2 linked regions of the Daphnia pulex genome follow. The protein of the gene in region 1 purifies or fractionates together with the protein of each later gene. This does not show direct contact. Links are inferred from orthologs where the notes say so. Each region holds a gene or a part of one and is shown in the gene's direction. Other genes may lie near its edges. The genes, in order: ras-related protein Rab-5C-like and rabenosyn-5-like.

What was found.
Region 2: the proteins of ras-related protein Rab-5C-like (region 1) and rabenosyn-5-like purify together in Drosophila melanogaster (affinity purification with western blotting; 3 studies listed by BioGRID, with this or other methods). This does not show direct contact. The link is inferred for Daphnia pulex from reciprocal best matches to the Drosophila melanogaster genes Rab5 and Rbsn-5.

Annotation. Positions count from the first base shown.
Region 1 is NC_060026.1:1,540,177-1,544,772, forward strand, and holds ras-related protein Rab-5C-like, read left to right. Parts: upstream 1-1,660; 5' UTR 1,661-1,808; exon of another isoform or gene 1,809-1,945; intron 1,946-2,157; exon of another isoform or gene 2,158-2,431; intron 2,432-2,504; 5' UTR 2,505-2,524; coding exon 2,525-2,723; intron 2,724-2,785; coding exon 2,786-2,894; intron 2,895-2,959; coding exon 2,960-3,219; intron 3,220-3,288; coding exon 3,289-3,404; 3' UTR 3,405-4,266; downstream 4,267-4,596. Other genes in the region: uncharacterized protein LOC124204766, read right to left, coding at 438-714, 784-850.
Region 2 is NC_060026.1:3,857,294-3,861,815, forward strand, and holds rabenosyn-5-like, read left to right. Parts: upstream 1-1,550; 5' UTR 1,551-1,744; coding exon 1,745-1,907; intron 1,908-2,051; coding exon 2,052-2,174; intron 2,175-2,234; coding exon 2,235-2,537; intron 2,538-2,622; coding exon 2,623-2,819; intron 2,820-2,878; coding exon 2,879-3,018; intron 3,019-3,086; coding exon 3,087-3,173; intron 3,174-3,250; coding exon 3,251-3,424; intron 3,425-3,484; coding exon 3,485-3,590; intron 3,591-3,682; coding exon 3,683-3,798; intron 3,799-3,907; coding exon 3,908-3,998; 3' UTR 3,999-4,224; downstream 4,225-4,522. Other genes in the region: uncharacterized protein LOC124204889, read left to right, coding at 1-826, 889-1,277, 1,337-1,385.

The DNA of each region.
Region 1 (4,596 bases):
TTGATTATGCTAAAAGGAGCTCGGATGTACTACTACTGCACTAGTAGTAGACTAGTAGTTACTTTCATGTTTTTAAGTGGATGACAAATGCTTTACTCCATCAACGCTGACATCCCCCCTCAGACTACTAAAAGCCTCTCCTCCTTTTGTGTGTGTCCCCCCTCGACTACTACCGACGCAAATAAACTATTGAAAAAGTTGCCCGTGCGTGCTGGAAAAACCTACTCCCCCCCTATACTGAACTTTATTCTCTCCCCTGTCGATATCTATCGAGATGATATTGCACAGCTGCTGGTGAAATCTTTTTTGAATCATCCATCAACCGTTGGTTGGACGACCCAAACTCTAAATCAGACTTGGCTGATTAACGCGGCCAATTGACTGATTAATTGGGTGTAGAGTGCCATTAGCTAAGTAGATGGGACGACAAAACCTACCGGCGGTTGACAGTCGATTGGACGGAGAATAATCGCCGGCGACTATCCAGTTCGATCATTTCCTGCAGTTCCTCCTGATCGGTTATATTCTTTGGTTGTTGTTGAATGGCCGATGACACCGGTGGCAGTAGGGAAGAGATGTTGATCGGCATCAGAAATCCGCATCCATCCGAATCTTGTCCGTCGAAAACCGCCCGATGGATAACCAAAACTTCCGTCTCGGACTCGCAAACAAGTTGCAGTATCTCCTCCTTGCAGGCCGTTCCATTTTTCAATTCTACAACAAAAATGTTAAAACATAAAAAAACAGAGGCCGTACATATTTGCTGGGGTGATTTTTATATACCTTGAGATTGCGCCGCGTGAACGATGACACAAAAGAGTAGTAATCCAATGATGAGTTGACGTGCCATTTTCTGAAATAACTTTTGTCCTTTTTTTAAAAAATTTTGTTGTTTTTCTCTCTGGTTTTTGGACGGATTTATTTCTTAGGTCATCATTGGCTGAAGCGACAAAACAAGTATAGACGCACACACAACACTTTTTTTTCGGTCGAGGAAACAAACGGAGACACGTGCGGATCTGTTAGCCGTCGCTGTGATACTGACGCCGCCGTGGGCCCCTGACGCGGACGTCAATATACACACACACCGGATTGCCAGTGCACTACTACCCCCGGATGGTTAACTCTATACTCACAGAGAGAAGCAGCTGTGCTGCTGTCGCGCTCTCTGATATATATTTATGTATATGCCGCCGCTTCTACTAAAAGGTAATAACGACAATTGGCTCTTCTCTTATTTTTTGAAAGCAGACGGCTTGCCGGGCGGGAATCCATGACGTTTCCGTGATTGCCAATTTAAGACCGAGATTAGATTTGTGGATTATTTGTATCTTATCCTCTACGTCGTCTCCCCCTTCCATCGCTTTGTCTTAATTAAAGTTTCCGGGGCGGATGGAGAGAAGAGAAAACACCTCCCCTCGATCTGGCCATTCGAGTGACTCTTTTGACCGCTAGATGGCTCACCAGAGCTAAATAGTACCGACGAAATTCACGGTTTATTCGATATCTACGTGGAATTTGTTTTAATTATTCTGCATTATTCATTACGAATCGTTAACGCTCGATATGTAAATGTTGACTAAGTTAAATAATAGATTTTTAAAAAATTTTGGATTTTTTCGAGTAAAAAAGTTATTTAACACAACAAGGTTGCCATGTTTCGATATTTGTCCGCCTGGTGGGCTAGTTCTTGTGTGTCCCTCCTCCCTGTTGTGAGGATTTCGCTTTTTCGCTGCGAATAATAAAATTTTTTCCAACACACAGCAGCGAGATAGCACTAGAGCAGTCGAATTTCGTAATCTTTACATGTAAAAACTATTGCCTACGTTCATACTATTGAAACTCTCTTCCTTCCTGTCGTCGTCATAAAGAAGTGTGTGTGTCATCAAGAGTTTTGACTTTTTGTTTCCCCCCACTGAACAGCATCGGTTATTTTATCCCTTGTGTAAGTTTTGTTCGTGTCGGTAGACGCCTCTCGAAAAAATAACAGATTTACTGCTATCTTTTTCCAATCAGCCCCTCCATAAAATTTTGATTTTTTCTTTACTTTTTCCTTATACTCCCTCCCCATTCTACTCGAGAGAAAAAATTACGTGTAACATTTCCCGTATAATATCGATATACCCACCCTACCACCGTCTGATGTTCAAGTGACGTTTCAAAATACCACCCCTGGCTGCTGGGTCTTCCGTCTTGTGTGTGGTGTTGTTTGGTGCCTTCATTTTTATAACGACGTGTTTTGCATTTCGTAACACTTAACAAACCAGCGGCTTGGAGGAATCGTATTTTGATTTTTTCCTAGAATTTTTCAAGTTCAGAATTCTCAAACAGTTTCCTGGTTTGGGGTATATAGCTTTTTGTTCTTGTTTTGTTTTAGTAGGTCAGAAGCACAGGAAGCCAATCAAATTCTCTTTTTTTTTATTCCCAATATGTATAAGGATTCTACCTTGGCTAATTTTTTTGCACAAGGTTGTGAACTGATGTTTTTTTCTTTCTTGTTGCAGCTTCAGTTTACAGCAGAGTCATGGCCAATCGTGGGAATCAAGCTGGAACAGCAACAGCAGCAGCCGGTGGAGCTGCACAGCGACCAAATGGTGCCACACAGGGCAAAATCTGCCAGTTCAAACTGGTGCTTCTCGGTGAGTCTGCAGTGGGAAAGTCCAGTCTGGTTCTCCGTTTTGTCAAAGGACAGTTCCATGAATACCAGGAGAGTACCATCGGAGGTAAACATGATTTCATCTCCACTCTTTGATCACAGTTGTTAATGTTGTCGTTTTCTTTCCAGCGGCTTTCTTGACACAGACAGTCTGTTTGGATGACACAACTGTCAAATTTGAGATTTGGGATACTGCTGGCCAGGAACGATACCACAGTCTTGCCCCCATGTATTACAGGTACGATTGATCATAAAACAAAAAGTGTCAACTTGTATCAATAACACCTTTGTTGATATTTGCAGAGGGGCACAGGCGGCTATTGTAGTGTACGACATAACAAACCAAGACACTTTTGGCCGGGCCAAGGTCTGGGTGAAAGAGTTGCAACGTCAAGCCTCCCCTAACATTGTCATTGCCTTGGCGGGCAACAAAGCCGACTTGGCCGCTAAACGTGCTGTTGAATTTGACGAAGCTAAAGGCTACGCCGAAGAAAACGGACTTCTATTTATGGAAACGTCAGCCAAGACGGCCATGAACGTCAACGACATCTTCTTGGCTATCGGTAAATTCAACTCATTACTCACATGCAATTATTCTTCTCTATGTACATCTTTCTTTTTGCACTTGACAGCCAAGAAACTACCTAAGAACGACGGAGCTGGAGGTGTTGGCGGAAGCAGTGGGCAGGGTAGGAGGCTAGACAGAGCTGAAGACGGCAACAAACCAGCTTCCTCGTGCTGCAAGTGATCACGAAATAATTAAACAACAAAAAAAAGAAACTAAACAAAGAAAAAAAACACATACTACACACATTTATGAAAGACAACAAAAACAACAAAAAAACCATATATTAAAAAAAAAGAAAAAATCATCCGTTCTTTGTTTTCTTTGTTTTTTCCACACGCGGGGATCCAATTCCTTTTCTTTCTTATTATTATTTTTCCCTAATTTTTTTTTTTGTAAACCATCAAAAGGACTTTTATATCATATCCCTTTACAGCATCCCCCTCCCCCCATCAGAATATAATTTGCAGCATTTAAATAGTTACAACCTTTTTTGGGGATTATCCGTTGTGTCGATCGTTTATTTTTTAATTTTTTTTTTATTCAAACGGAGCAGCGACATTCCAAATTAAATGGCGAATTTGAATTGGAAAAGAAAACAAGGCAAGGGTTTACAAAAAATAATGGCCTGACTCTGTATTATTAAATCTCCCGACCATCATCAACCATGTTTTTTTTCTATTTTGGTTTTTACATAACACACACCTTTTTTCCCCCCACGTTTTTACTTCAAACAAACTTGTGTGATGGTTCTTTTTTCTCGTGTGTAGAATTTCTTCCCCCCGTTTCTTTTGTGTATACTCGAACCTCCCCCCCGCCCTTCAAAACTTTTGTATATCAAGCTTTGTGAAACCTTGATTACCTTTTTTTTTTTTTATATACAAATCAATGTAGGTGTTCCACACATTTCTTCTCTATATACCTATTTAGCTTTTTCTCTCCTTGATCATGATCGTGGCCCTCCCAATATCTTTCGAATAATGTCCTAACTTGGATATCGTGTAAGTAACGCTGCTATATCAGGAAATGTACATTTCTTGCCTTGCCCGTTGATTTCATTTCATTCTTTCTTTAATTGGCTTTACTGATACTGATAAGCCTTTGCACTTTGGAAGTTGAAATGAGTGGAGAAATAACGAGAAAAATTTGGATATTCTTGTGAAAAGGCGAATCTATATTGATGCACATGGTACAAATACGAATGACATTTCACAAGAGGTAATTTTTTTTACAGCCAAATTTCAGCAGCTTTTGTCCAAGTGGGAACTCGTGGTGGTAATTAGTTTTCTGGTTCTGGATGACAGCTGACCCAGAATTACCTAGTGAAAGAACAGAACAGTTAGAGACAATTTACACGGCGTCATTAAAACTAGTG
Region 2 (4,522 bases), about 2.3 Mb from region 1:
ATCCTACGAGAAAGCGAGCGATCTAAGTGTCATCAAATTTAACGAGCGGATCGAACTGAAAACGGCCGAAGACATGCGAGTGCAGTTCAGGGAAGCCCTGGAACGCGGATTGCCTGTTCCCATCTTGACCGTCATCAACTATTTTAGTCACCAGGAAGAAGGTTTCCGCTGGTCTGTCGATTACCGAAGGGCTGGATTCTTTTGCCAATTTTTCCTGACGTTGACGCTCATCAGCTGGGCGTGGATGAACATTTTCTTCCTCGTCATTCCGCAGCACGGAGCCGTTGCCATGATAACCACCGGTTTGCTGGGCCTGATGGCCGTCTTCCTCTACTGGATATTGTTGCCAGCCTTGGATCTAGTCATCGTCATCAATGGAAGCCTACTCCAATTCAAACTGGACGGCTGTTACTGGACTGTGCTCGTCACTGGTCTGGTGGCTTTGTTGACCGGAAGCGCCATGCTGATTATCGAATTGCGTCATCCAGGCAGTTTGGCATTCGATCTGGAAGTCGACTCCGACATCAAAGAGAAATTGATCAACAAAGTGGTCGAGAGACGTTCGGTCAAGCAGCAGCCATCTTTGCAGTCGCTTAATCCGCACAAACCGAGTTTGAAGTCGAAAGTATCGGTCGTCGACGCTACAGCAACTGCTTACGTCGAAAAGAGCCAGATGACGTCAGACACGAAACTCGATTCCGGATTCGGAGTCTCGACGGAATCGAGCAACATCTCCGGACTCCTTTCGCACCAGATGGATTCGGTCACCGATCTGGAGCAGATTGCCACTATGGATGGATCCTACTTCAAGTCGACCGTCACGAATGTACGGTAAGACATTGTCTTATTACATTAGGCAATTTGGCCGTTAATCGCTTCTCAATCCAGTTGATTCAAGCGGAGAAGGCTCCAAAGATTTACAGCTACACGTTCCGGCAGGGAAGAGAATTGCCCAGCTTTCACGAGAGCACAATTTCGTTGCACAGTGAGATGGTGCCTCGTTTCTTGGACAGCATTGTCGAAGAGGATGTTGTCGTCCATCGGTCGGCTCATTCGCCTCCGCCGGCAGTTTCGGTGGGACCGCGACGCGTTTCCCAGTCGTCGTCGGACACGGAAAAGGAAGAATGGCAGGATCCGATTGAAATGAGCGAACCAGAACGTCAGCACCACAGTCACCACACTGATTCCGATGGACACAATGATACTTTCTGTTCTACTTACAGTTCGTCCACCAATCCTTCTCCTAGACGTCGTTCTCAACGCGCAATGTCAATTGGGTATTTTCATTCTATTTGATTTTTTAATTTGGATTATTCTACATTTATTTGTTTGGTAGGTCACACCGAGACATATTCGGACACACACCCAAGGACGCAAAGTTATAGCGCTACATACGATATTTTGTTTATATCAGAGTTTTTCCTTATTCAGTGCGTTGCAAGAAATTATTGAGTAACAGAAATAAAAAAACGAATCATTCATTAGAAATGTAAAAAAAAAACCGCTAGACTCGTTCATTTTGTCATGTATCGCAATACTTAACAATCGATTGAAATATAGGAAGTAAGACGACGTCGTCTGCTTCTGTCCAAAGAAATTATAGGAATGGGCGTAATACAAATGAAGTGAATTATTCCTGGATTACAAGCTTTTAAAAGTTGTTACACAGATTTGGAGTAACATTGGTTAGATTTGTGATTTGTCCTGATACAATAATCCTAGTAGTATCAACTATTTGAGTGAAATGGCGACCAGCACACACACAGACGATAACGAGAGCAGAATTCGAGAAGGATTTATTTGTCCTATTTGCATGGAAGATTTGGCTACAGATGACCAGTTACTTCTTCATTTCGAAGAAGCTCATGATACAGAAGAGGATAATGATGTATTACAGGCTTTCAAAGGTAATAACCACTTCATTTGTTTCATTAGTATGCATTGCGATTACTATGTACAACATGCTATCATATTCAGCACAGTAGGAAGTTTTATGTATGTAAACACAATTATTTTAACAGAAACTTTTTTTTATTATGTTTTGGTTTTAGACTTTCTTGGCAAGGCTAAGAAGATTTTGAAGTCAGACAATCCTTTTGAGATTCTGGAGAAAACCAGTTCAAAATCCAGTCAGCAAAAGCAGGATCATGTTGAATGGGATCCTCAAGATTTTGGTAAGAAATTTTCAAAAAGTTAACACTCTGTTCATTATATCTAATTGAAATACATTGTAGGTGTAATACATAGTCACTGGTCGGATTTCCGTAAGTTCCGGAGTAACCGAATGGACTTTTACGCTGCCGAAACAAACAAATTAATCATTCGACTAGATAAAATTGTATCTTGCTTACCCAGTGAAGCTGCGAAAAGACGGGAGCATGAACAAAACATAGTTACTTGGGTTAACGACGAGGATGTTCAGCTATGCCCACAATGTGCTAAATCATTTAACATACTTAGACGGAAACATCACTGCCGTGTCTGTGGTACCGTACAATGCCACCAATGCAGTCAATTTCTCTTGCTTTCATTTGCAAGTAAGCATTATTGTTTTACAAATGTATTTTTTTAAAGATGTTTTGTGTTTCAGTTTCTCATTATTCCCCATTTACTTTTTGCAAGGGAAACTGACAAATCCCAGCTATATTCCAACCTTAGATGACAACAAGGAGAAACCAAGTCCTCCTAAGAGATTAACTCACGCTGCCGTCCATGCTCTTAAAAGGACTGGATCTACCACTAGTTTGACGTCACTGACCTCTCTAATTGATACCGATACGGGAGAAGGTCACATCAGAGTTTGTTATTATTGTAAACAGGTTCGCAAACGTAATGCTTTAGTTTAAGAATTTTAAAAACCATAACAAACGTTTTCCAGCTTCTTGAACGACGCGAACAGCAAATGGACAGCCGGAGTCAAAACGCTGTCATCGCCGAACTCTATAATGAAATGCGGAAGTACATGGAAAAAGGTGCCGAACTCATGCCGGTTTTCTTGAAAATGCTCGAATCTTTTAGGTTTGTCATAATTTCTTAAGGAACAAATCAATGTTTCACAAATGATAACTTTCTATTTAATTGACAAGTCAAGGTGAATCTACTTACAATTTGAAAGATGCTCAAGAATGTCGTCTGAAACTATTGAAAATTGCCGAATACGTTGACGGCTACAGGTATCCAATTTTCTCTTAATTTTCTCTTTGGCGCTATTGGTAAATTTATTGATACACTTTTTTTATTTATTGTTTAGTAAAAAAATCCAGTCTCTGGGAATCGATGATGAGAAGAATCCCACGTCTGGCACTGCTCTGTCATTACAACTCAAAATTCGTCTTTCTGCAGTAAACTTCTTGAAAGAAAATCTACTTGGATTGCCGAACTTGCCCACTGAAGAACAACTTATAGTGCTGCAAGCTGAGAGGCGGTAAGGCAGATCAATTAACTTTTAGTTATGAATTCATTTTACCCGTCCATTTCTCTTCAGTCAAGCAATCGAAAAGCGCATAGCTCAAGAGAAAAAAGCTGTTTTTGAAAAACGGGAAACAGAAACTAGGCGTCAACACATGGATAATCAGAAAGATTTTGAAGCAGTAAGTTTTTTACTTTTTTTCCATCCTGCACAGTGCTTATGTCTGATTACTTAAAAAAATATTGCGTTGCATTGTAATCTATTTAATTGTAGGTGTCCGTGGATAGAGGTTGGGGAGTAGAAACCTCAAACATAAGAAACGTAAATGAATCAGATGATCCGATGCTACAGCAAATGCAAATAATGCGGAATTACATTCAACAAGCTAGGTATACATGAAAATTATTGACTAGGGAATTTCTAGGTTATGCTTTGAAATCCTGTCTTCAAAATTAAAAAAATTCCTTATTCATTTTCTTTCATTTTCTAATCTACTAGGCGTGCAAATCGTTACGACGATGTTGTTATCCTGGAGGCAAACTTACGTGATCTTCAGATTGAACACGAGAGAATGCAGTCTCAGTCATAAGATTTCGATCGACATTCCATCAATTGATCAAATATAGAATGGTCAAATAACATGTTTATTCGCCCCCCACAATGTGATATTCGTTATTTTGAATGCGATATATAATAATGAATGCAACTTCCGTTTTTTTGTTCATAAATGCATATGATTAACTTCCTAGTTAGAAAAAGAATTATGCAATTCCAAAGGAATGAACTCTAGAAAATACATCAAATTTCAGGCCTGTTGGAGGTGTAGAAGCAGCATTTGCGAAAATTGTGTGGCACTAATTAGACATTTGAAAACTTTCAAATCTTACACTAAATAAATAAATAATTAAGTAGCATTTGAATTTTATAACTGAAGAGTGAAGCTATAAATGTTAACGACTAAAGCTAAACTTCAAAATCCATCTCTGTCAAATAAAAAATAAGAATTTCGCGCTGCTCCGCTAGGGGTCGGCTGCAGACGATTCTTCTTTTTACGTTTTTACTTTTTAGCCAAGTAACAACGGCTGTCCCTAAACTGCGAAAGCGAAACGCGAA